Caenorhabditis elegans: one gene and its partners. The protein of the gene in region 1 interacts with the protein of each later gene in a biochemical or structural test. Each region holds a gene or a part of one and is shown in the gene's direction. Other genes may lie near its edges. The genes, in order: npr-11, flp-5, flp-14 and flp-34.

Region 1 (6,364 bases):
CTCTCGCAGTACTTAGCAGGCTTTCTCATCAAAAACACCAATAGCGTTTTTGTGTGGCTCCGGAAGAAAAGAGCATTCCTGGTTTTAATAAACTTTTCCTGGTTCTGATAAAAACCGAAAACAACGGGATTCTTAAAGGTGGAAAAATAACAGAAATCTGAAAATTTGCTTTTTTTAGATTCAATTTGACATGAAACTACCGAATTTTGTACTGAAAGGTTTTGAAATTTATTCGAAAAACATGAAATGGTGGTGTAAAATTTTGGAAAAAAAAGTTGTATCTTAGCCAAAATTAAAATTTTTTCAATTAAATAAAATCAGAACTTGAATAAGTAAGTTTCATTTAATTATTACCCTTTATGAAAATTTACTATAAAATCCAAAATTTTGATAAAATAATTGTTATTTAGTTTTGCTTAAAATTTTCTCAAAACAAAGTTAAGTTGGATCAAAGTTTTGGAAAAATCCGATTTTGCAGTAGATTAGATTGATTTTTTTTTAACTAAAATCAAAAAATCAAACATTTTCTTGTTTGGTTTTTGATTAAAAATTATAATTTTATCGTTAATTTTCTGTAAACTTTTATACAAAATTAACGATTTAATTGTTCAAAAAAATGGAAAAATTTTTCGATTTTCCGATTTTCCCTTTAAAAAATTGAAGAAAATCGGAATTTTTTACTTCAGATTTTCAAAAAACAAACATTTTAATTTATCGATTTTTCGAAAGTTTCCCTGTAAAAATCAAAAAATCGAAAAAATGTGTCGCAGGGGGTGATAATTTAATGAACCTTATTTCTTCAAGTTGGGACTTTTTTAATTGGCAAAATTGTGAAAAAACGAGATTTTAGCTCAAAAAACCCCTCATTTCTACAATTGTTTTTCGGAAAAAAAAATTTTCGAAAATTTTTGGTCTGAAAAATGGAAAGTCTCAAGGTCTCAGATTTTGGAACTCCACCTTTAAAAACACACAAAGTTCTGTTTTCTGATACCAGTTTTCTTTTGTTGATGTTGTTGTTGTGTTTCACTTCTCCATTTCATATCCGGCCCGTTCCTGCATTTCCGATGTTTATGGATATCCACCACAAGATGGCAGAGAGAAATGTTTAAAAAAACCGACCTGGGTGGCCGAAATAAATGGCGGTTGAAAAGACGAGTTCCGTCAAAACAAAGTCATATAAATTTTTTATTCTTGTGGTGATGCTACTAGTTTGGTTTAATCGTATTTGGTTGTCTCTGGTGAGCTCATTCACCGCTTCTTTTGTTTTTTCAAAATTATTTTTCATGAACTGCTCCCACACATTTATTAATTTTTGCTATTTCCTATAGCTTTTGACTGTTTGCGAGATTCTTTCGAATTTGGTGCAATTCTTAACAGTAAACCAAAAATTATGGTCATTGCAATGGAGATGTGGTCAGTGCAACTGATAAAGTCAATCAAAATTTTTGTCAGTGCAAATGATATAGTGGTCAGTGCAACTGAAAATTTTGTCAGTGCAATTGGCATATATGATAGCCATTGGATAAAGTCATTCGAAGTTTTGGTCAGTGCAACTAAACATCTTGTCAGTGCAAGTTGTGTATTTTTAGGCAGCATAACATAGATGATTGTGGCTGGTAAAATTGAAAAAATATTATTAAAAAAAAAAACTAAGTTATTCCTGAAATTCGGTGCACATATTGCTCCCAAACCCCTGTCTTTCAACGTTATTGTTTTTATAAAGTTTCAATTTAAAAGGGATATGGGAGTAGACACCGGGGCGGGAGAATGAGTTAAATGAGATGATAGTTTTCACTTTTCAATTTTCATTTCTTCTCTATAATTCGCAGTAATTACCTCTCATTTTTTGATATTTTTCTCTTATAACCGACCGACTAACCACTAGTCTGGATGCTCAATTTCTTGGAATATTCGTTTATTTATTTCCCTTCTGTGTGAGAAAATTGGCGTTTCACATATTTTTTTTCTTGCCTTCAATTTCATCTCCCGTATTTTTGTATTTTCGTCGGTATTTTCAGAACTTTCAACAAATGGGATCGGTGAATGAATCATGTGACAATTATGTAGAAATTTTCAACAAAATCAACTACTTTTTTCGAGATGATCAGGTTATCAATGGGACTGAGTATTCACCAAAAGAGGTTGGTATTCAAAAAGACAATTTTTTTAAATTTTGTCAGTGCAAATCAAAACTTTGTCAGTGCAAATTTAAAAATGGTCAGTGCTTACTCAAAACTTAACATTCAAATTTTCAGTTCGGATATTTCATCACATTCGCATACATGCTGATCATTTTGTTTGGAGCAATAGGCAACTTTTTGACAATCATCGTAGTCATACTCAACCCAGCAATGCGGACAACAAGGAACTTTTTCATTTTAAACTTGGCGCTGTCGGACTTTTTTGTGAGTATTTTTTGCTGGAATTATTGAAGATAGGAAACAATTTGAAAAATTCCAGGTTTGTATTGTGACAGCGCCGACCACATTATACACGGTTCTCTACATGTTCTGGCCATTTAGCAGGACATTATGCAAAATTGCGGGTTCGCTGCAAGGCTTTAACATATTTTTATCCACATTCTCGATAGCCTCAATTGCTGTTGATAGGTATGTACATATATTTTTTTTAATTAAAAATGCCATTTAACAAGTTTTCAGATACGTGCTCATTATCTTCCCAACGAAGCGAGAACGACAACAAAATCTGTCGTTCTGCTTTTTTATCATGATCTGGGTGATTTCCCTAATCCTTGCGGTTCCACTTCTGCAGGCTTCTGATTTGACACCGGTTTTCGTTGAGCCATCGTGCGATTTGGCTCTTTACATTTGCCATGAGCAAAATGAGATATGGGAAAAGGTTGGTTCTTAGTGGTCTAAATGAACTATAAACTAAACAATAAGCTTCATGTATCAGCTCCTATTAATGAAATATAAAAACTGTCTATGTACTGTAGTATTACTGTAATAATTAGGTTAATATGGTGTGACGATAGTCAAGGGAACTTGCTTAATACTTTCTATGGAAATTTGCTTTGAGTAATAGAAAATGTGTCATAATTTCCAAATACATAAAAGAGTTGAAAAAAAATTTAAAAAAATTGTTCCGATTTTTTAAAATTTTCAAATAAAATTTCAAATGACTTTTTAAAGTTTTCAGTTTTCTGAAAACATGTTAACTGGTATTATATTAACCAGTATGTATGGAAATATAAAAACAAATATAAAAAAAGACAATTTCGGCTAAACTCCAATTTTTCCAGATGATCATATCAAAAGGCACCTACACGTTGGCAGTTCTTATCACCCAATACGCATTTCCCCTGTTTTCACTAGTCTTCGCCTACTCCCGGATAGCACATCGGATGAAGCTGAGATTTGCAAACCGAAATCAGAATGTGACAACAAATACCAATACGAGTCAGAGGAGACGGTAAGAAATTTTTGAAATGTTTTTGTTTCGAAAAATGTAAAGTTCCACGTTTTAAGTGGCATTCGAAATTTTTGAAACACTGTTCTAACAGAACTTTTCTGAGAAAATCTGACCCACCTGGGCCGAATACCACAATTTAAAAATTGAAACAATTTTCTAAATTTGATGTAATTTTTTTTGAAAATTGGGAAAATCTCTATTTGTGCAAAAAAAATAAATAGCCCAATAAAAATTTTTAGAGCATTTTTTGAAATGTTTTACTATGATATTTGACACCATAGGAGTTGTTTTTATCAATTTACCCATTTGGGCTATTCCACCTTTACTACTGTGAAACTTCGAGAAAAATGTGCTCAAAATTTGTTATTTTATCTGCGGTCATAAAATTTTCAAAAAATGTTAGTAAAAAACTTTAATTTTTTGTAAAAAAATCATGTGAATGAACTTATACTAAACTGATATCTACAACATTTTGAAATTAACCCAATCACCCAATTTCAAGTTATTTTTGAAACTTTCGGATCATTACTTGCCTGGAGAACTAAATTTTGAGCTTATTCAAAAATCAAACAACTTAAAATTTTTCACATAATTTATTGTACAAAATAGATGTTCTTCGAAATAAAATTATTTTAAAAAAAGTTCCAGATCCGTCGTGGAACGTCAACGACGCACCCACCTCCTTCTTGTATGCGTTGTAGCTGTATTCGCCGTCGCCTGGCTGCCACTCAACGTTTTTCATATCGTAGGAGCATTTTCGTTTTATGTTCCACTAAAACCATAACAAATTTCAGTTCAACACATTCGAGCTGGTCAACAGTTTTTCCGTTACAACGTTCAGCATCTGTCACTGCTTGGCAATGTGCTCGGCGTGCTTGAATCCGCTGATCTATGCATTTTTCAATCATAACTTCCGGATCGAATTTATGCATCTTTTCGATAGAGTTGGGTTGAGGTTTGTGAACATTTTAAGTTAATTTTGGTAACACTTATGTGTAAAGTTGGTGGAAAATTTTTGCAATTTTGTCATTTTGCACAAAAACGTCCAGTACCAGGTCCCGTCACGATACATTTTTGTTAAATACAAAAGTATGTGCGCCTTTGAGGAAGGAGTACTGTAATTTTCAAACTTTATTATCGCTAAAATTTCATGAATTTTTCATAGACATACGGTTTTCTCAAATTTTCAATTATTAATTTGATGATTTTTTTTTTCGTAAAATTAGTTGATAAAAACAATGAGTTGTAAACTACAGTACTCTTTAAAGGCTCACCTTCCAATTTTTGAAAAAAAATTGCCGTGTTAAGACCCTGCCGGCAGGTGGTCTAAACACAGTGGGGCTATTACACTGTGGAAAACCTTTCCTCAAGAGTTATATAAATATAATAGGAACTACCAAGGTACTGTAATAGTTTGGTAGAAGAACTGTTGCGGTGTGTGGCCTGGTTTACAGCTTTTGTATCAAAGTCGTGATACACCCAGAAAATAAAAGCGATCTACCAATTAAGCGCCCTAAGTTGACACGCATAATAAAGAGGTCCTTTATTATGGGAACATAAAATTTTGAGAATGCGTATTGCACAACATATTTGACGCGCAAAATATCTCGTAGCGAAAACTACAGTAATTCTTTAAATGACTACTGTAGTGCTTGTGTCGATTTACGGGCTCAATTTTTGAAGTGATTTTCTTTTTGAATAGGGACATCAATATTCCATTTTTTTTCGTTTTTGTTATATTTTCCTCCTTAATTTATATATTATATTGATAAACAAATGATTTTAATTCAATTTGAGAATCAAGCTCCTAAATCGACCTACAGTAGCCATTTAAATAATTACTGTAGTTTTCGCTGCGAGATATTTTGCGCGTCAAATATGTTGTGCAGTACGCATTCTCACAATTTTGTGTTCCCGTAATACCATTGATCTACAAAAATTGCGGAGATTAGGCTCACGGAATAATGAGTAAATTTGAAGAAAATTATAGATGGTTGTACTGTAGAAAAATCTGAAAATTCAAAAAAATATCGCAATATTCCAGATCCCTTCGAGTCGTGATATTTGGAGAGCAAGAGTCGCTCAAGAAAAGTATGCGCACTGAATTCAGAAGCCGTGGAGGCTGTAAGACGGTAACTACTGCAGAGCCAGCAACCTTCCAGAGAATGAATGAAAGTATGATTCTGAGTGCGATGGAGCAAGATGAGCAGCTGTGATTGTTTAAGAAAACATGTAGGGTAACAATAAATCATTCCGTCATTGTTTCAAAACGCTTCTAAAACCTAATTTATTTGATTTTGATGTTCTTTTTTTTTACTTTTTTTTTCGTTTCCGTCAGTATGTTGCTGATTCAGCCTATTATGTTTCACATATGAAGATTTGTAAATGAAGCTTGTCATAAGAGAGATGATTGGTCAAATTTGAGAGAAGTGACCGAAGATTAGGGAGGGGACTGACTGAAATGCGCAGTCATGCGGAAAATTTAGGGTATTTTTGAGTTGAACAACCATATTGTTCGGCAGCTTTTCAAAACAAATGGCGTCATGGATATGGAAGTTTTTGGTTCTTCGTTTCGAGACAGGAAAGTGAATTTTAATGAACTACTCATCGGAAACTGGTCAAAAAAGCTTGTTTTTTTTAAGGGAGGGGGGATTTGATGTAAGAATGATAACAAAAATCTTTTGGGACAAAAGTATATACTCACGTGGAGTCAGAATATCTCATTTCGGTTTGATCTTCAAAAAATGCGGGAGTTGAGACGCAGACATCTCAATTGATTTTGCATGGTTAAAAGTGTGCTGACGTCACAATTTTTGCAAAAATATTCCCGCATTTTTTGTAGATCAACCTGTGATGAGACAGCCTGACGCCACGTGTATACTGTGTACACTAAAAAATGCAAACGCTACGTTTGAGTATTATATGCAAATGT
Region 2 (4,954 bases), 7.3 Mb from region 1:
AAATGAAAAAACCATTGATTTCCGCAGATTTCGGGAAGTGATGACATTTATCTGTGTAATATGACCATTGAAATGTGGGTGTACCAAATTTGTAAACTTTGATGACAGTATAAATAAAGATCGTGAACACAATAAAACAACTCTTGGAAAGTAATATTGAACACAAAAAGTACAGATGATATGGCCAATTGGTACACTTCTGCATTATTTTAGTACTCTTAATCAAGACTGAAAGAGGGTAACAAAAATTGGTTCTGTTGTGTTTTAGTATTGAATAAACCTTTTTGAAAACAAACTTCTTTAAGAAAATGAAACATGATCTTAAAATTCACACATGTCGTAAAGAAAGTCATCGAGCAAAAGTTCAAATACAAAGTTCGCGTAAAAATTCAATATGCTGAAAATTCTAGGCTTTACGGTTTGTTTGCTCGCCCGTAGACTTTTTCATTCCCGTAGCTTCCAGTTTTAATTAAAACTTTTTTGTGGGCCAAAACGGACACGTCATGTCAGGCCCCGCCGTTTCCTCCTCCGACATGTCAAATCGGTCATTCAACACTGACATTTTGCAGTTTTCGGAGAATCTCCCATTTACTACGGAGAACGCGCCGCCTAGAAACAGAATAGTTCAGTTTTTTAACTTTAGTTTAGTTGTTTTTTTTTGTGGTATCTAAGAAAAAAGAAGCAATGTGGGCTTGAAACGGGTGGATCTGAAATGAATCTTGCAATTGATATTGTTTCTTGTGTATATTATGGAAAACGGAAATGAGAATTCGGCAAGTGAACACAATACAAAACTCTCATTTTGAAGTAAAACCGGTACATGAGCACTTTTATCGGTTCGTGGAAATTATGAATTGGTACATAAACAAAATTTATAGTTGATCGTCGGAGTGTTTTTTGGGAATAGCGTTACATCGATTTGCAAGTTTTCTAAAAACCAAAGTTGATGCTCTATGACGTACTAAAACAATCACTAGAAGTCTATTTGAAATTTGAAAGGTTTCTGATTAATTTTTTGTTCTGATTTTCGTATTATTATTTTTCTCCCAATTGATAGTGACCCTGGTTCGAAAACAAATAATCCTACTCTATTATTTGTTTTCAATCAGCTTTTCGGCTTCTGACTCCATTTCTATTATCAAACTCTGGGTTAAGTCGTTAGTTTTCCGGTACCCCTTCTATTCCCCCAGAGGCTTACTAGATCGTTTACTTTTCAATCTCCACGGGGTTAAATGGGAAACATAGAGGGCATTCCGTTTTGCAAAAAGAGCTTGTTAAAGTTGAAGTCTGGAAGGAAGTACCTAAAAGTACCTAAAAAAGCTTTTGGGTCGTGTGACGAATTGCGCAGAGAATTCAGAAATCTGCTGGAGGATTCTTTTTATATTTTTGATCGCCAATATAGACGAGCTAATTCATCAAATTATGTCATGCAACTTTGACGCAAGTTATCAAAAGCATATTGCTATTTTCTGTTGTAGTAGACATGTTGATATCTTCATTTCTCCAATTATCTTCTCTTCCTACTATAATAACAACTCTTTTAGATAAAGTCTCTTCCCAAAAATAACAACTACAGTTTCAATTTACTCCTTATTTCCCATCATCTCTAGTTCAGCTCCCAACCGCTCCACATAATAGTAGAGATGGGGCGGAGCCAGTTGGCAAGCCATGCGCAGCGTCCCCGCCTTTCAGCTTCCACGACAGCACCCGCCTTTTACGAAACAGTCATTCCTCGCAACTATGAGCAGCCGAAGCACCACGATTGCTTTCCTCTTCATCGCCACCCTTCTTGTCTTCCAATGTGTTTCCGCTCAATCAAGGTAGGTTAATTTGATGTCTAGGGTTCAGGTGCTGTGATGAGCCAATTGTTAAACCCCAACTGATCAAAACTGGCCATTTGTTCTTGATTGTGATCATTGCTTCGGCTATTGAGACTATCATGGACTTCCTAAAAAGAAAAGGCGCTAGGACTTAAAGTAAAATTATTAAAAGGATTTTAAAAAAGGCTGACATAAATTACCAACTCAGACAGAAAAAAAAACACAAAAAACCAAAACTCTAACGGTGCGTGAAGGTCTAGATTGAAACAACAACGGAACCTATTAAAGTCGTAGGTACAAGCAAATTATCTTTTTCAGAAAAACTAAATACTAATACAGAAATAGTTTCAATATCCAAATTAAATCATCGTTGTACAGCTAATTGCTCAAAAGTGACGCATTTTTCATCATGCACTTTATTTCATCATCATTTTCGTAATTTTCTAATTATACAAAGATGCAATGGCGTGATTAACACACATACTAGATTCTGTTCGTTTTCTTCGGCATTTCACTTTACTACTAGCATCTTGTGCGCTTCCTACGAACTTATACCCCGGTCTCCTCCCTTTTTTTCATTCTCATGAGCATCGTAATGTGACGTGAGTTTATTCTTTTTGGGGGATCCCATCTTGTCTGTTGGACTCTTGGTGTCGGATGAAGCGGAAATATCAATCAGCCATTCAAATTCAATTGCGAGTACTAGGAGGCGCGCTTTTTGCTTATTCGCTTTGCATTCGATGCTTCCGGTGAGATGCACTTTGACCCATTCTTTCCATACTATTGTTTAAAAAATTGGAACAACTTTGTTGGGAGGCCAGAGTCTTCAGCAAGGAAAAAATAGAGATGACGTTATAAACAAAGAATGGAAGTGTTCAATGACAATATCTTTTTGAAATTACTTTTCGAAATACTCAGATTTTTAAACTGTTTGTTTTGTTTTAAAGCTTGGAATTTCCCATTCAGAACATTGAATTCCAAGCATTGAAAACAAAAACAAAAGTATGTCAAACAATAAAATAGTTGAGGACTAGTCTCTAACCTAATAGAAAAGCGAGGGTGGAATTCATAAAATTAGCTTCTTTGACCTTCAATGTAACACAAATTAGCATTCCGTTCTCGATTTATCCCGCTTCTTTAATATCAGGCAACTTTGAAACTTCCCTGTTTCATTCTTAGAAAGTCACTGGAGGGATCAGAGCACTCACAAAACATGTCTCCTTCAAAAAGTTGCCACCACTTTTTTGCTCTAGTCGTTCAATACAATTGGTAAATGAAGCGTTTAATTTTGCACTTGGCGTGCTAACATGACGCATGTGCTCATTGAGTTTGGAAAAGTAAAGTAGTTGGTTAAGCGACAAAAAGGAAAATGTGGTAACCTTCTTATCTTTTCATTTTTCAATTATTTTTGAACAATTATATGCAGAAATGTAGGTCGTGGTGAACCGAAACACAATATTAAAAATATGATAAATGGTGGTAATTAAAATAGACACATTTTCAATATTGACGTGTGAAATACGTAAGAAAAAAGACAGGAAAGGTTCTATGACATTTTAAAAAAATAAAACAACGGTCTCTTTGTTCACAAATATGGACTTTTCAATCTAATAACACCGAATATTTTCAGTGCCGAAGACGCGGACTACCTTGAAAAATACCAAAGAATAGCACGAGCACCAAAGCCAAAATTCATCCGATTCGGTCGTGCAGGAGCCAAGTTTATCAGATTTGGGCGATCAAGGAACACTTGGGTTAGTATTTCAAGAAAATAATTTTTTCAGTGAATCACTGCATAAGTCGAAAACCAAGGTTCTGAAAAGCTTGTTTCCTTGTGTTTGTTGTACACATAGCTTAAGCTGCTACCATTGTAGAAAATCCTATTCGACCCCCTTATTACGTATGCAAATTATATTCTGAAAATCTTGATTTTTATCTGTTTTGATATTTGCTGAGTCTAGAGATTTTTTTGTAATGCTGGGGAGCACCTTAAAAAAATTGTTCTAGTCGTATATGAACATTTACAAATTTCGACTAATAAGTATATGATGAGACTAATAAAGGATAAACGATGCCTGTCATTTCCAGCGAAGACGGAATACTTTTAAGTCACAAGAAAAACGTCAGAATTTCATGAAAGATCGACGTGACTGAGTACACACTGCATTACAAGCTATTAGCTTTCTGAAATATTAAAAACCCCGCTCCCCCACTATCTTTACAAACGGAATACATATATGAAAATATCACGCTAAAAAGCACTATGTCATATGCCAACACATGGATATGAGTAATGACGCATCCGAAACGTCAACTTCTCATGTATACTAACCATTATGCCATCATCATTTATTGAATTTTCAGGAAGATGGATACGCCTCACCATCGGTCAACGAGCTCTACGTTAAACGTGGAGCCAAATTCATCCGATTCGGCTAATTAGGAACAATCAACTCGTGTCGAATCACTGCTCCTACGTTGTCTAACTGCATAGTGTTTCTTAAAAAGTCCCCACCTGAAATATACCCTTTCACTCATTTATTTGTCCTCCTATTTTTTTCGAACTGTTGTGCGAACTGATATTCTTTGTGTTTTCCATTTCGACGCCTTCTCAAATGAAAAACGTTGCGTTAAATTATTATGTTTCAAAATTTTTGAATAACAAGTATCCATAATCCATGATCTTAAAAAAACAATAAGAAACACGTAAACAATTCATTATAAAATATGGACTTAATTAGACGTCTCACCTAAATATGTTTCCAAAAATTGTGTGCGTTCTTTTTTTTAATCGAAATATTAACTAAATACTGCAATCTAGTCAATCAAATGACATGTCAATGTTTGAATGTGGTTTGAAATTTTATGCCAAGGAATCAACACAATTGAACAATCATTTCATTTTGTATTACTATTGCATGTGTCAAAAATACTTAAAAACTTATTTTTGTTTAAATCTCCATACACATATCTAATCTTCAAAACTTACGATCATCCCAATTTGGTTTTTAGAAAGTGGTGGCAGTATAGATGTTATTTGAAATGTTTTTTCGTTTACTAATTTTTTTTGGCTTTGGTAGCCTTGAGTTCTACAGAAAATTGAAAAGTTGGTTAGAACAGAGGTTTCAAAAATA
Region 3 (6,624 bases), on another chromosome or scaffold:
AAATTGAAATGGAAGAGTTTGCCGAACTAGGCCATTTTGGCTCGGCCATATCTGGGGTAGATTTACGGCGCGTTGCGTGTCGCGTCGCGGCTCGATTGTAAAACTAAATGTCCGTGTGGAGTTCACACGACTTTCCCGGCGGCCGATTGTCAATGGAGCGCGAAAAAATCGATGAGGAAGGCTAGAAGCCTGTGCATCATTTCCGCAAATTTTTTGAAGCTCCGTCGCGGTCATGGCCGATGTTCCCAACTCTCTCGGAACGCTCCGTCTTCATAAAATGGGTCTCATTAGGAATTTGGTCGTTTTAGCTATTATTCGTTATTTTTAATGATTTTTTTCGATTTTTTGATTTTTTGATTTTTTTCGTCACAAAAAACATTAAAACACACTGAAAAAATTAGAAAAATTAACGAAATCAGGAGATATAAAAAAGTTTGAATTTACGATTTTGTCGCCAAAAACCTAACGAGACCCAAGTTATGTCACTATGCGGCAATTCAAAAAAAGACAAATGTGTTATTTTGTTCTGGAAGTTACAATTTTTCACAAAGTCAGACCAATTAGAGCAGCCTCTTTCGAGTGAAAAAAGAAAAGAAAACACTTAACGAGCACACACAAATTTTAGAAGAAAAAAAAACGGAGCACCACGTGGAGAATTGCACGAAAACAACATTAAGCGATGGTTCTATACTTCCTTTTTTGTTCTGAACGTTTAATTTGGGAATAGTTTGAGCAAAGCCTAGGCTGGTCTAGGCTGGTCTAGGCTGGCCTAGCCCAGCCTAGCCAAGCATATTTTAGCCTAGACTCCCAGCTTGGCTAACCTTGCCTAGAATCCCAGTCTTGCCTAGCCTAGCCAACCTTACATAACGTATCCTACGCCTACCTAGTCTAGCCTCACCTAGCCTAGCCTAGCCTAGCTTAGTATACCCTTAACTAACCTAGTCCAACCTTATCTTACCTATCTTATCCTATGTCTACCTAGCCGGGCCTAGCTTAATCTAACTTCCCAGTCTTGCCAAGCCTAGCCAAGCCTAGCCAAACCTAGTCAAGCCTAGCCAAGCCTACCCTCACCTATCCCTGCCTAGCTTAGCCTAGCCTGGCCTAGCCTTACCTAACTTATCCATCGCCTGCCTAACCTGGCCTAGCTTAATTTGTCCTATTCTTACCGAGTCTAGCCTAACCTAACCTAGTCTGTCCTAGCCTAGCCTAGCCTAGCCTCACCTAGCCTAGGCTCACCTAGCCTTGCCTACTCTTCACTAGACTCCTAGACTTGCCTAGCCTGACCTATCAATACATCTGCTCTGTTCAAACATTGACCTCCTCTGTCACTTAACTCAATATGCCCCTGGGCCTCCTTACGGAACCTCCGATACATTTTTTTTGGTTTTTTTTATTTTTTATTACTTCCGGGGCAGATTCTCAGATGTTTGAGGTGTTTTCTCTTTTCCAATTTTCCCGGAAAATTTTAGCGAAATCCTGCTAATCCGGGGACCCCATCCCCTCGGCTAATTAGTATTTGTTTTTTTTTTCGTAAAATTTTTAGTGCTACCGTACTCTTGAATTTTGTTTCATTTTTTTTTCTTCTCCTCGAGCTCTACCAAGCCACGCCCACAACATTTCACTTTCAACACCGAGCTCCGCCCATTTTGAAGTCTCCTCTGGCTCCAACTGAGAGCTCTCTTCATATGATGATCTGCCTGCCCACCGCGCTTCTGCTCTCCGCGTTCGTCGTGGCCGCCAGTGGCCAGGAGGCACCGGCTGGAGCCGGAGCTTCTGGAGCCGCACAGGCTCCACACAATCCGAAGGATTGTCAAGCGGTGAGTCAAAAAAAAACCATTTTGTTCTAAGAAGTTTAAAGTCATGTTTATAATTGGGTTTAAAAAAGTTTTTTTTTTCAAAACTGCAAGTGGAAGTTATAATGAGATAGTTTAGTGCATTTTGGAAAAGTTTTTCGAAAACTAAGTTAGGGCCTGCGTGACGTCATACATCCCATGGTTCTCAAAATTCTGAGAATGCGTACTGCGCAACATATTTGACGCGCAAAATATCACGCAGCGAAAACTAATGACTACTGTGTATTGGTTTGATCTACGCAGATCTACGAGAATCGCGGGAACTTAGACGCAGACTTCTTAACTGATTTCGCATGGTTAAGAACGTGCTGCCGTCACATTTTCTGGACAAAAAATTTGATAAATATGATATTCTTTTGATCCTCATGACGTTTCGGTTGTAGTAAACTTAATAAGATCACAATTTCTGCTCATTTTTCGGGGGAGGATTGGATGCACAATAAAGATTAAACAACTTGCGATGAATAGAAAAAAAATCTATTTTCTTTTTCATAGTTAATCTAGATGATTCTAACCTGATCATACTATTCTCTGTTTGATTTGAATGTGTTTTTTTGTGGGGTTGGAAAGTAGTAGATCAAAGTTTTTTTAGAACTCCACTTTGGTAGATCATAACTCGGTTCATTTTATAGATAGCAAAATTTTTTAAACTATAAAGTTGCAGAAAAAGAAAAAACCTATATTTTTCTAGTTAACAACTTTTTGATAAAGCTAAAGATAGCCGAGATATGAGCTGTCAAATACGGGCTTCATCTCACCGTAGTCCTCGACAAAAATCTGAACCTATAATTACAAGGCTTCCGGTTGGTTTTTTTTTTGAAACCATGTAATTTTCGTGCTTTTCCCAAGGATTTTGTTCCGGAATAATCACTGGGTTTGAAAAACGTACTACTGTAAAAAAACACATTTTCCAGATTCTGGCCAACAACGGCGATCAACAAGAGGCGCTTTTGTGCCAATTAAGCGAGAGCAGCATGCTTCTTGCTCAGCTCGGAGCTCTCGTTTCGGAGGGAGTTGAACGTCTCGTTCAGACTCACGGTAAGTAGGCAGGTAGTAGGTAGGCAGTAGGCAGGCAAGAGGCAGGCAGTAGGAAACAGGGGCACCGCCGAAAATTTTTTTTTCGATTTTTCGGTTGTTTTTGAGCATAACAGAAAAACAAAAAATTTAAAAAAAAACCGAAGATCCGGCAGCCCTGGTAGGTAGGCAATAGGCAGGCAGTAGGTAGGCAGTCGGCAGGCAGTAGGCAGAAGGGGTGCCTTTGCCAGGTTTTTCGGTTTTTTTGGGCAAAACCGAAAAATCGGAATACCGTAAAATTGGAGTCTGAAAAACGAAAGTTGGCAGTAGGCAGGCAGTAGGCAGATAGTAGGTAGATAGTAGGCAGGCAGTAGACAGGCAGTAGGCAGCAGAGGTGCCTATGCCAGGTTTTTTTGGTTTTTTGAGCATAACAGAAAAACAACAATTTTTTCAAATAAACCGAAAATCCGGCAGGCAGCAGGCAGGCAGTAGGAAGGCAGTAGGCGGGTAGTAGGAAACAGAGGCACCGCCGAAATTTGTTTTTTCGATTTTTCTGTTTTTTTTTTAGCAAAACCGAAAAACGAAAATTAAAAAAAAAAAAACAGAAAATCCGGCAGGCCAGGTAGGCAGTAGGTAGGCTGAAGGCAGGAACTAGGCAGTAGGCATGCAGTAGGCAGGTAGTAGGCAAATACTAGGTAGGCAGTAAGCAGGCAGTAGACAGGCAGTAGGCAGCAGGGGTGCCTATGCCAGTTTTTTTTTGGTTGTTTTATAGCAAAATCGAAAAATCGAAAAACCGTAAAATGGGAATCTGAAAAACGAAAGTTGGCAGCAGGCAGGCAGTAGGCAGGCAGTAGGCAGGCAGTAGGTAGCAGGGGTGCCTATGCCAGTTTATTTGGTTTTCTGTCTTAGCAAAACCGGAAAACAGGAAAACCGGCAAGCCTAGTAGGTAGACAGTAGGCAGTAGGCATGCAGTAGGCAGGTAGTATGCAGGCTGTAGGTAGGCAGTAGGCAAGCAGTAGGCAAGCAGTTGGCAGAAGGGGTGCCTTTGCCAGTTTTTTCCCTTTGGTTTTTTTTTAGCAAAACCGAAAAACGAATTTTTTCTTTAAAAAACACCGAAAATCCGGCAGGCCTGGTAGGTAGGCAGTAGGTAGGCAGTAGGCAGGTAGTAGACAGGCAGTAGGCAGCAGGGGTGCCTTATCCAGTTTTTTTGGTTTTCTGTCTTAGCAAAACCGAAAAATGGAAATACCGTAAAATTGGAATCTGAAAAACGAAAATTGGCAGTAGGCAGGCAGGCAGCAGGCAGTAGGCAGACAGTAAGTAGGCAGTAGCAGGCAGTATGCAGAAGTAGGAAACAGGGGCGCCGCCGAAATTTGTTTTTTCGATTTTTCGGTTTTTTTAAAGCAAAATTATTTCAAAAAAAAAAGCAGAAAATCCGGCAGGCCTGGTAGGTAGGCAGTAGGTAGGCTGAAAGCAGAAACTAGGCAGTAGGCAGGAACTAGGCAGTAGGCAGGCAGACAGTAGACATCCGATTTGCCAGCTGCATGAGTCAAACTTCATTTTCTCTGCATCAAATAAGCCTCCGGTGACCCAGCCGAAAGCCTAGACTATCAATCACGTTCCGCCATTTTCTTGAAAAAGCCCCTGACTTTTAAAATGTAAAGCGCCAAATTCTTTTTAAATTCTTAATGATGGTTGTGCTCTTGCTTTGAGGTCTGATCCCAATGGGAAACGTTGTTGCAGGATTGGCTCTCGAGGAGGAGACCAACGAGGGAGACAATGACATGGAGAAGCGCAAGCACGAATACCTCCGATTCGGAAAGAGAAAGCACGAGTATCTCAGATTTGGAAAAAGGAAGCACGAGTACTTGAGGTTTGTGATTTTTTTTTAGTTGTAAGGCAGGCAGTAGGAAGACAGTAGGCAGGGTGTAGGCAGGCAGTAGGCAGACAGAGAGTAGGTAGACAATAAGCAGGCAATAGGCAGGCAGGGAATAGACAGGCAGTAGGCAATCAGTAGGCAGGCAGTAGGCAGACAGGGAGTAGGAAGACAATAAGCAGGCAATAGGCAGGCAGTAGTAGGCAGATGTTATTATGGCGCCGCAAAAAGCTGCAACTGTTAGATGGGGGCAAATACGCTCCAACGTACAAATGAATACACCCAGGAAATTTTTGGAACCAATTTTCTTAACGAGACCCAAATTATGGCAGCGTTTGGAGCGCAATTGCACTTTTTTTTCGAAAAATTGTCATTTTTGCGTCACCGTAATACTTCTCAGGTCTCTACACGAATTTGCTTGTTTTTTTTTAATACAGAAGGAATTCAAAAGCCTATAAAGATTACTGTAGTGTCCTGCAAAATATTATTTATTTACACAAAAATAATACGGACAAATTCTCGAGGAAATGATAGAAAAACTTTGAAAAATCGATGAAAATCAAAGTCGCACACCTTTTCGAATTTAACGAAAAATTTGTCGCGTCGAGACCTGTATTTGTGGCTGAAAAATCGTGTAACAAACTTGCGCGTAAAATATGATGTCTGTGCATCGAATTTTATGCGCGAATTTTTTTTCCCACTTTCACGGGGTTCAGGCCTTCCTCATTGCATTTTTCGCGCTCCATTGACAATCGCCTGCCGGACAACGCGTGGGAAAGTCGTGTACTCCACACGGACAAGTGATTTAGATTTACAACTAAAATCAAGCCGCGACGCGACACGCAATGCGCCGTAAATCTACCCCAGCTATGACCGAGCCAAAATGGCCTAGTTTGGCAAACTCTTCCATTTCAATTTATGAGGGAAGCCAGAAATCCGTGATTTTTCGAGCACAATTTAACGGAGAGAACAAGCTCTGATCTTCGCACTTTTCCGTAACACTATTAAACTTCAAAAATTGAATTTTCGACTCAAATTCGGTGTTCTTTTTGTTTGTTTCTAAATCAAATGTCACACGATGTCTCTAAAGGAAATTGTGTTCCATCAAATTTCCCCTATTTTTTTCAGATTCGGAAAGAGAAAGCACGAATACTTGCGTTTCGGACGCAAATAAGAAGGGAATATCTACTATCATCGAAGAAACATCTTTGAAAACCATACAAATAAAAGAAGAAAAAGACGGAACTACAGTACACCATTTTTTTTTGAAAGATTTTTTTTTCTATATTTTTCTCTCTATCTCTTTTCTCTCTCCCTCTCAGCATTGTCGAAAGAAGAAATTGTAATAAATCTTGTCGTTGGTTAAGAGTTATTTTCTAGAAGTCAGAGGAAGATAAGTGCGCAACCGACATTAAACAAGGTTCACGATGAACCACTTTAAAAACGATTTAAAGAAAGCAAACTTCTGGGTCTTGTAGAAATTTCTGGGAATCTGGATTTTTTGACAAGTTTTGCTGGAATGCTCAGAAAAAAAAACACTTCGAATTTTTTAAAATGTACGGTAAATTTTTTATTAGAATTTTTGTCAATAATTCCAAAAAATGAACAAAAACGCAATTATAAGATCCCTTCGAGATAAATGGAACAAAAAAAAAAGAATAAATATAAGTAGATCGTATTAGAAATTTACATGAAAATGAGCAATAAAAAATCCCAAGACTTCTGCCGAATTACTGCACGTAAACTCCACGATCGTATTTATTGAACTTTTGCGAGCGCTGTAGAATCTTATCGTTGACAAGATTTGCAACGAAAATGGCAGCGATGCCGAGGAAGCATCCAACGTTGAGTCCAGCCATTGCCTGTAAGAAATTAATTTTGAAA
Region 4 (7,753 bases), on another chromosome or scaffold:
GGCATAAAGCAGGCGTAGGTACTTTCGTAGGCATGCCAAAAACAACAACTATATTTGCACAGGACCTTGTAGGGCCTAGAAATTTCTAAAGTTGTTAAACTATTTCTAAACCAAAACGAGTCCCAGTTTTCCAGTTTACGAAATTTTTTGTTGTTAGATAGTTTTGGTTCTTAACCTTTTTTCTAATTTGTCAATACCAAAACAAATTCATCAATCAGGTGAATGACGCTTAGACGATTCTGATTGATTAGAAATTTTTTAATTAACCTTTTTGGTTACTTGGAATTGATTAGAAAATGTTTTGGCCTTATGGTGAACTAAATAAACGGTGCAAAACTTCAGTCAATTTGCCTTGTGTCTTCAAATTTTCATGGGATCTCTGAAAATTTACAAAAACTCTACCTAAAAACGATATGTTTACCCAAATGTAGTTCTCACAACAATCTATATTTGGGATCTCAAAATTATTTTTAGTTCTCTAACGTCATTTATTCTCACTGCTAATTATGAAATATGTACGAGGAAATTTCGTGGCAATTTTTATTTCTCGAAAGTTCCAAAATTTCCATTTTCCCATGGTCAACTGTAGTAAAGAAATATTTTAGAAAATTGACGTCACACTCAGCCGAAATTACGGTAGAATTTTTTTTTGAGTTTTTTTAATTGAAGTCAAAAAAGGGAAAACTAAATTTCCCCTTTCGCCAATTTTGGAGGTCAACCCTCTTTTTTTTTGGAAAATTAGATTTTTTGCCAATAACTTTGTCTATATAAAATTTTTGAAAAACCTGAAATATTCTCAAACATTTGAAAATTTGAAAATCTGAATGTATGAGTGTATTAAGACCAGAGGTGCGCGGTAAATATTTTTACCGGCAAAGTCGGCAATTTGCCGTTTTTCGAGTTTCCGGCAAATTCGGCAAACCGGCAATTTGCCAAAAACAAAAATTGCCGGAAATCCGGAAAATGGTCGGAGTTGAAAATTTCCGACAAATTCGACAAACCGGCGATTTGCCAAAAATTAACATTTCCGGTTAATCGGCAAATTGCCGGAATATAGAATTTCCGGCAAATTCGGCAAACCGATAATTTGCCAGAAATGAAAATTGTCGGCTAATCGGCAAAATTTTGGAATTGAAAATTTCCGGCAAATTCGGCAAACCGGCACTTTGCCGAAAATTTTGAAATTTGCAGACCACGTGCTTGATTTGCATCAAGTTCTCATGCCCTTTAAATTATTTTCTCTCTATACAGATTTCCTCATATACATTGACATCATGCCCTCTAACAACAAGAATAAAAAAATTAAATATTAATTTGTATTCGAATTCGGAAATTTCCTTTTTTTGCGCTTTGTGTCTCAAATAATATGCGGTGCTAATGAATTTTTCATTCCGAAATACGACGGACTTGTTGAAGGATTTCCTGAGTTTTCACAATTTTACGTGTATTATTCGAATTTTTACAGGAATCTTGCAGTTTCTGACTCTGGTCCAGACGTGGCCGCGAAAATTAGAAAATTCGGCCAGGAATTTATTTTTGATATTTTTTGTTTTTTGCGGCCTCTAGTATGAATACTGTATGCTAATCTCGAGGTTTTTAAATTAAAAAAAATACTCATGGCCGAGTTTCCAATTTCCTAGGCCACGTAGCAGCCGCATTTCACCTCAAACTCTCATTTTCTCGGAAATTTTTGCTGAATTCCTTTGAAATTCAGCTCAATCTCTAAAAATTTTACTTTCAGGTACCCCCGTTGCAGAATAAAAATGCACAGCTTGATCACAGAATTGCTCATTTTCTTCACAGTTCTTCTTTCTGTCAGGTAATTTTTTTAATTATTTTTTAAGACAATTACATGGTTCATTTCAAAGCTCTAAAGAAGATTCTAAAGGCTTACAACTAGAAAATTTAACCTTGGCAAGCAGGTAGGTACTTGAACTTTTTTTTGGTACAATATTCCTAAAATTCTTCAAATAATCTGAGCTCTTTAGCAAACAAAAGTTGTCAAAATCTATGAAACTAGATCAAAAATTGGTTTTTGAAAAGCAAAAACGAATCAAATTTCATTTGTACCAGGTGAAGGGTTTTTTGATAACTAGATCAACATTTTATTTATGCAGAATCACTTTTTTTATTATGAAACTACATTTGAAAAAAATGTATTCAAAAATATGAGGAAGCAATTAGGCTTTCGAAACTCGCAAACATAGTATTTTTGGAAGGTCTCGCAGTAAAATTCAAGTGACGTCATACCGATGAATTTCCCGCAATTTTTATAGGTAAAACCGATATAGATTACTATATGTGACGTAGAAAAATATAAAAGTCGATAAAAATTACCTTGTTCGAAATTTAAATGTGGACGGGTTTTATCTTTCTCGTGGACGCGTTAGAAGGAGACCTGCCTGCCTATGTGCCTACCTATTGCCTACCGCCGCCTCCAATAAAAATGCATATTTGCTAATTTCTGTCTATTTTCATTTCCATTAAGTTTCTTCATGGGGTTTGCTTTGAAGGCAGGCAGGCAATTAGGTGCCTGCTGTCGGAAATTGCATAGCATCAACAATTTTTGGAAAATTTGAAATTGAGGAAATTTACTTTTTATTTTTATTTTTATTTCCAAACAGAGGGATGGGGCTCATTTACAAAACTCATTTTTATCCAAAAAAATTTTTTGAAAATATTTTTTTGGAAAATTATATAGAAATGTAGAGAAATATCTGTTCTTTCTGAAAACAATTTTATCTTTATTTAAAATGTTTGAGAAATTGCCGAAAAACTGCCTCAAAGCCGGCCGTAATGCACCTAGGGTCACTGACTCTATCGGCACATTTTGACTTTTAGGTGGGTTTTGAGCAGCTTTTTGAATTTTTAAAGAAAAAAGTAATACCATTATCAGAAAGTACAAATGTTTTTCTATATTTCTGTATAAATTTTCGAAAAAAATTGCCGGAATTGCTAAAATTTTTAGAAATTTCAAAACTATAATATTTCAGCTATTTCAGAAATTCCTGAGCCCACTCCCTCGTAGGAACCCAATTATGAAATTGTAATTTTGGCAGAGAGGGAAAATAATTTGTTTTTTCGCAAATAAAAGTGACGCGGTGATGCTTTCAAAATTGAAATATATACATGTATATATCTGTGTATATTTTTCTGTTTTTCCATATTTCCCTCCTCGAAAACCGCTAACAAATTCTATCCGGTTACCCAATTTCGGTTTAAAACCATTCCATTTAATTGGCACCACATTTCCGTTTAGCTTCTTCCTGCTTTAAGCCTAAAACCTAATTTACCACCCAAAAAGTCGTAAAACAATCGTATTATTGTCATGGATTCATCGTATAGTATATAAAAATACCGTAGCTGTGTGTGATGACGTGGCAACAAGAAAAAATTAAAGAAGAATGTGATGAAAGGCAGGCATCATTTCCTGGGAGCACCCACCATTAGGCGCCGCCCACTTTTGGCTCGGCGAGCAAGAGGGGGGAGAAAGCTCATTCTGTTTTCGACACCCGATACATACACTCACACACATTTTCCACTACTAAACATATTTTCTAAAACATGCAGTTCCAATTTTTGATGGCTCTGATTTTTGTTGCTTTGGTTTTAACTGACAGGTTGGTACTGTGGGGGTACTGTGGGGGTACTGTAGGGGTACTGTAGGGAATGGTACTGTAGATTTTTTTTGTTGAAAGTACGGTAGTTTTATTATATGATTTTTTTTAATTTGAAAGTTGTTGGTTATGAATTTTTTGAATTTTTTTAAATACGAAAATTTTGTTTTAAAATTTGGTAAGAGACCATATTTCTGTTTACTGTGATCCTACATTATTTTAACATTACTATAGTGTATTACTGTAGTATTACTGTAGTATTACTGTAGTACCTTTAACTGAACCAAAATCTATAACTTAATACATTGGTTGGGCCAAAAATATTTTGCAAAAATTTTTTTAATGATTTTTGTTCAAAAACTATTTTAAGGGTGCAGTATCATCTAGGATAATTAGAAAAAACTCAATATTTTTCAAAAAAAAAATTACTATAGTCTCATTAAATATATGTGTTAATTTGTAAGTTATAAGGTTTTTTTTTTGAATTTTTGGAAAAAAGAAAAAAAAATCCAAAATTTGGTTAAAATTTTTTGGGTCGAAGTTTGAATTTCTGAGCTTTTTTTTTAATTTTTTGGATAAGCTTATGTTCATTTCAGTTTAAGACAATTTTTAGAATCACAAAATTAATTGGGATAACTTTGGAAAAAAATCAGAACAATTTTAAAAAATCTAAAAATTATAAAAACTTGATGTTTTCTAATTTTTGAACTTACTACTCAGTTACTTACTCAAATTTAAATCTTTTCGAAATCTAAATTTAGCTTGTCTGCGCAAAACATCATGGCAGGTGAATTTCTGTTTGAAAAAAATGTTTTCGACCAAAAATTGCAGTTCAACTTTTCTCAATGACGTGGCAAAATTGAGATAAGTAGGATTTTTTTCATGATCTTTTTTGAAAATCCACAAAAAAAAAGTAATTCTGAAACAAAAGGGGATTAATTTGGAGTATTAGTCAATGCTCATGAGTAATAAATTGTGAAAAAGTCAACAAGGAAGCATCTCAAAACAATCAAAAACTAGGCTTAATCCCCCATCTAGATTTGGATCAACAAATTTTTGATAAATTCAGATATGTAGTAATACTGTTAATAGTTGAACCAAAAATTCTAAAAATTGAAATTTTTTTAAAAATTTTTTAAAGTTTTAACCTGTTTCCTATTTAGAAATTTCATACATTTTGAATTTCGAACATGATGCATCAAAAACTGAAATTTCACAAATCGCGACGAGACCCACCAAAACTTGGGCATGCGCCTTTAATACATTTCTGGGCGTAGTTTAAATTTAAATTTGAAAATTTCAAATTTCCGTTCATTTGCGCTGGAATTAAAAAAAATCGTAGTCCCTGTAAACTTTTTTAAGAATGTATATAAAAAATCCTCGAAAATTTGGAAAAATTATATAATTTTTTAAAACAGTTATATTCGGTATACTCACGTGGCGTCAAGCTGTCCCATTACGGTTTGATCTACAAAAAATGCGGGAATTTTCTGCCCAGAAAAATGTGACGTCAGCACGTCCTTAACTATACAAAATCAGTTGAGAACTCTGCGTCTCTTCTCCCGCATTTTTTGTAGATCTACGTAGATCAAGCCGAAATGGGACACTCTAACACCACGTGTATACTTAGACTATGTTATGATATTCAAGTAAAAAGGATTACTGTAGCAATAGTTTCAGCTGTGTCACGACATAAAAAAGTTTTGCAGCGTACTATCCCTGCCACTGGAGAAAAAAGCAGACATTTCCACATTTGCATCAGCTATCAATAATGCTGGACGGCTTCGATACGGCAAACGATCGGACCCCGCAATGTGGGAAGAAAAGTGAGTACTGGGAAATTTGCGCGTAAGATATGGTGCATCGAGGAACACCAGATTTGACGCGCAGAAATTTGAAAACTAGTTGGTCATGGAAAAAATTCTAGACGCTGGTTCAAACCTATGCGATTTCTAAACTTTTTCCACAATTTGGAGCCCAGCGATCGGTACGTAGTGTGCACTTTTTCTATCTTTTCAGTTCATTTTTCTTGAAAATTTAAGTTTTTTTTAACATTTTCAATTTCCGAGTGACATTTTTCAATAATTTCAACGCACTCCAACCTTTCGAAATCCAATAAAAGTGTGTGTTTTGACCGGAAATCTCAAATTTGTGTCTAGCAAAAGGAGATGCTCTTTACAAACTTGTTTGCTCCAGCAACAACCCACCACTTTTCTTCGAAATCATCACGTCATTTGAAATAAGAACTTTGCAATTATAAAAGTAATGTAGCCTATGAGAAATTTGTGATTTTCAGTAATGTCATCATTCCATCATCGGAAGATCAGTACCTCTACTCGGAAGGACGTTATCCGTACGCATTGTGAGTTTCTCACTGGGGTAAAAGAACCTAGGCAGGCTTATAGCCTAGGTCTATAGCCTAGACCTATATTCTAGGCCTACAGTTACCTACAGCTTAGCCGAGACCTATGGCCTAGCCTAGACCTATAGCCTGGCCTAGGCCTATAGCCCGGCCTAGGCCTATAGCCTAGCCTAGGCCTGAAAATTGAAGAACAAAATTTAGGAGGCAGGTGAAATTTTGAAGTAGTAAATATAGAATAAATTAGTGATTAATCAAAATTTCACCTGTTTGTTCCTGCATTTTGGAACGTAGATCAAAATTTGGAACTAATTGAAAGTGGATTAGCGGAGGAGTTTTATGACGTGGGGGCGCTTAAGCTTCAAAGCTATAAAAAGATGTTTCCGAATTTTCAAGATTTAAACCCTCTCAACAAAATACAATTTTAAAATGTACAATTCGAATGACAAATGGTTGAATAGATAATTAGAAATTTGGCAGAGAGTTTGAAAAAAAAAGGACATTTTTCTCGGAATCAGAAAGTCGTGGCGTTTGGTCGGGTCATTGGGATGAAAATTTTTCAAATTTTTTGAGGAAATCCTCCTGAAACTAAAAATTATTTCAGAATCAAACGTGCGCTGAACAGAGACTCCCTGGTGGCTTCTCTCAATAATGCGGAACGATTACGGTAATTTTTAATTTTATTTTTCGAGATTACGCCTATGGCCTACGCCTATGGCCTACGCCTATGGCCTACGCCTATGGCCTACGCCTATGGCCTACGCCTATGGCCTACGCCTGTGGCCTACGCCTATGGCCTACGCCTATGGCCTACGCCTATGGCCTACGTATATGGCCTACGTATATGGCCTACGCCTGTGGCCTACGCCTGTGGCCTACGCCTATGGCCTACGCCTATGGCCTACGCCTATGGCCTACGTATATGGCCTACGTATATGGCCTACGCCTATGGTCTACGCCTATGACCTACGTCTATGGCCTAAAACAAAATATAATCCATTTTATTTTCAGATTTGGCCGTAAATAATTCCATCACGTCAGCCCGTCCGTAGCCGTCTCGTTTTTTTTTCTAAATTTTCTCTCTCGAGGTTTTGTTTTTATTTCAGATATTTAATTAATTTATTTATTCTCTAAAAAATTTTCCTCATTCAAAAATTCGCTTATTCAAATTTTTCATCATTCACCATCTTCCTGTCTTGTATCAAATCAGTCCCCCCAACTCGTTTTTATTTTTTATTTCTTTCTCAAAAAAAAATCAAATAAAGTTTGTGAGTCTGTTGTTTTGAAATTTATTTGATCTAAAAAGAGCGGGAACAGAATGGTCGAATAAACAATCGGGATATTAGTGCGCCAAAATTTTTTTTGGTTTGAATTTTTGATTTGAATATGATATTTGTGGACATTGAAGTTTGATCTTTTTTTTTGTCATAGGCGTAGGCCATAGGCGTAGGCCATAGGCGTAGGCCATAGGCGTAGGCCATAGGCGTAGGCCATAGGCGTAGGCCATAGGCATTGGTCAAAGACGGTTGCTATAGGCGTAGGCCATAGGCTTAGGTAATAGGCGTAGGTAATAGGCGTAGGCCATAGGCGTAGACCGTAGGCGTAGGCCATAGGCGGAGGCCATAGGCGTTTGCCATAGGCGTAAGTCATAGGCGTAGGCCATAGGCTTCGAGTGAATTCAGAATTCTCAATCTCAAATGTTTATTTTAATTTCCTCAGAATAAACTTTTGCCAGATGTCAGATTAAATGAATACAATTTCGAATGAGTCCACTTCG

The links.
Region 2: of the proteins of npr-11 (region 1) and flp-5, one has a biochemical effect on the other in vitro, tested with the Caenorhabditis elegans proteins (one study listed by BioGRID).
Region 3: of the proteins of npr-11 (region 1) and flp-14, one has a biochemical effect on the other in vitro, tested with the Caenorhabditis elegans proteins (one study listed by BioGRID).
Region 4: of the proteins of npr-11 (region 1) and flp-34, one has a biochemical effect on the other in vitro, tested with the Caenorhabditis elegans proteins (2 studies listed by BioGRID, with this or other methods).

What each region holds. Positions count from the first base shown.
Region 1 is NC_003284.9:1,251,282-1,257,645, reverse strand, and holds npr-11 (Putative neuropeptide Y receptor 11), read left to right. Parts: upstream 1-1,998; 5' UTR 1,999-2,030; coding exon 2,031-2,141; intron 2,142-2,255; coding exon 2,256-2,405; intron 2,406-2,460; coding exon 2,461-2,609; intron 2,610-2,660; coding exon 2,661-2,859; intron 2,860-3,262; coding exon 3,263-3,432; intron 3,433-4,080; coding exon 4,081-4,177; intron 4,178-4,226; coding exon 4,227-4,387; intron 4,388-5,476; coding exon 5,477-5,648; 3' UTR 5,649-5,831; downstream 5,832-6,364. UniProt on the Caenorhabditis elegans protein: Could be a receptor for neuropeptide Y and peptide YY.
Region 2 is NC_003284.9:8,526,582-8,531,535, forward strand, and holds flp-5 (GAKFIRF-amide), read left to right. Parts: upstream 1-1,739; 5' UTR 1,740-1,740; coding exon 1,741-1,820; intron 1,821-3,450; coding exon 3,451-3,574; intron 3,575-4,184; coding exon 4,185-4,259; 3' UTR 4,260-4,452; downstream 4,453-4,954. UniProt on the Caenorhabditis elegans protein: FMRFamides and FMRFamide-like peptides are neuropeptides. GAKFIRF-amide has an excitatory effect on dissected pharyngeal myogenic muscle system.
Region 3 is NC_003281.10:12,908,827-12,915,450, forward strand, and holds flp-14 (KHEYLRF-amide 4), read left to right. Parts: upstream 1-1,683; 5' UTR 1,684-1,685; coding exon 1,686-1,817; intron 1,818-2,767; coding exon 2,768-2,891; intron 2,892-4,607; coding exon 4,608-4,737; intron 4,738-5,868; coding exon 5,869-5,914; 3' UTR 5,915-6,104; downstream 6,105-6,624. Other genes in the region: Y37D8A.16 (MARVEL domain-containing protein), read right to left, coding at 6,471-6,602.
Region 4 is NC_003283.11:1,027,396-1,035,148, reverse strand, and holds flp-34 (FMRF-Like Peptide), read left to right. Parts: upstream 1-1,744; 5' UTR 1,745-1,763; coding exon 1,764-1,819; intron 1,820-3,496; exon of another isoform or gene 3,497-3,564; coding exon of another isoform or gene 3,565-3,620; intron 3,621-5,326; coding exon 5,327-5,443; intron 5,444-5,913; coding exon 5,914-5,979; intron 5,980-6,580; coding exon 6,581-6,643; intron 6,644-6,987; coding exon 6,988-7,003; 3' UTR 7,004-7,255; downstream 7,256-7,753.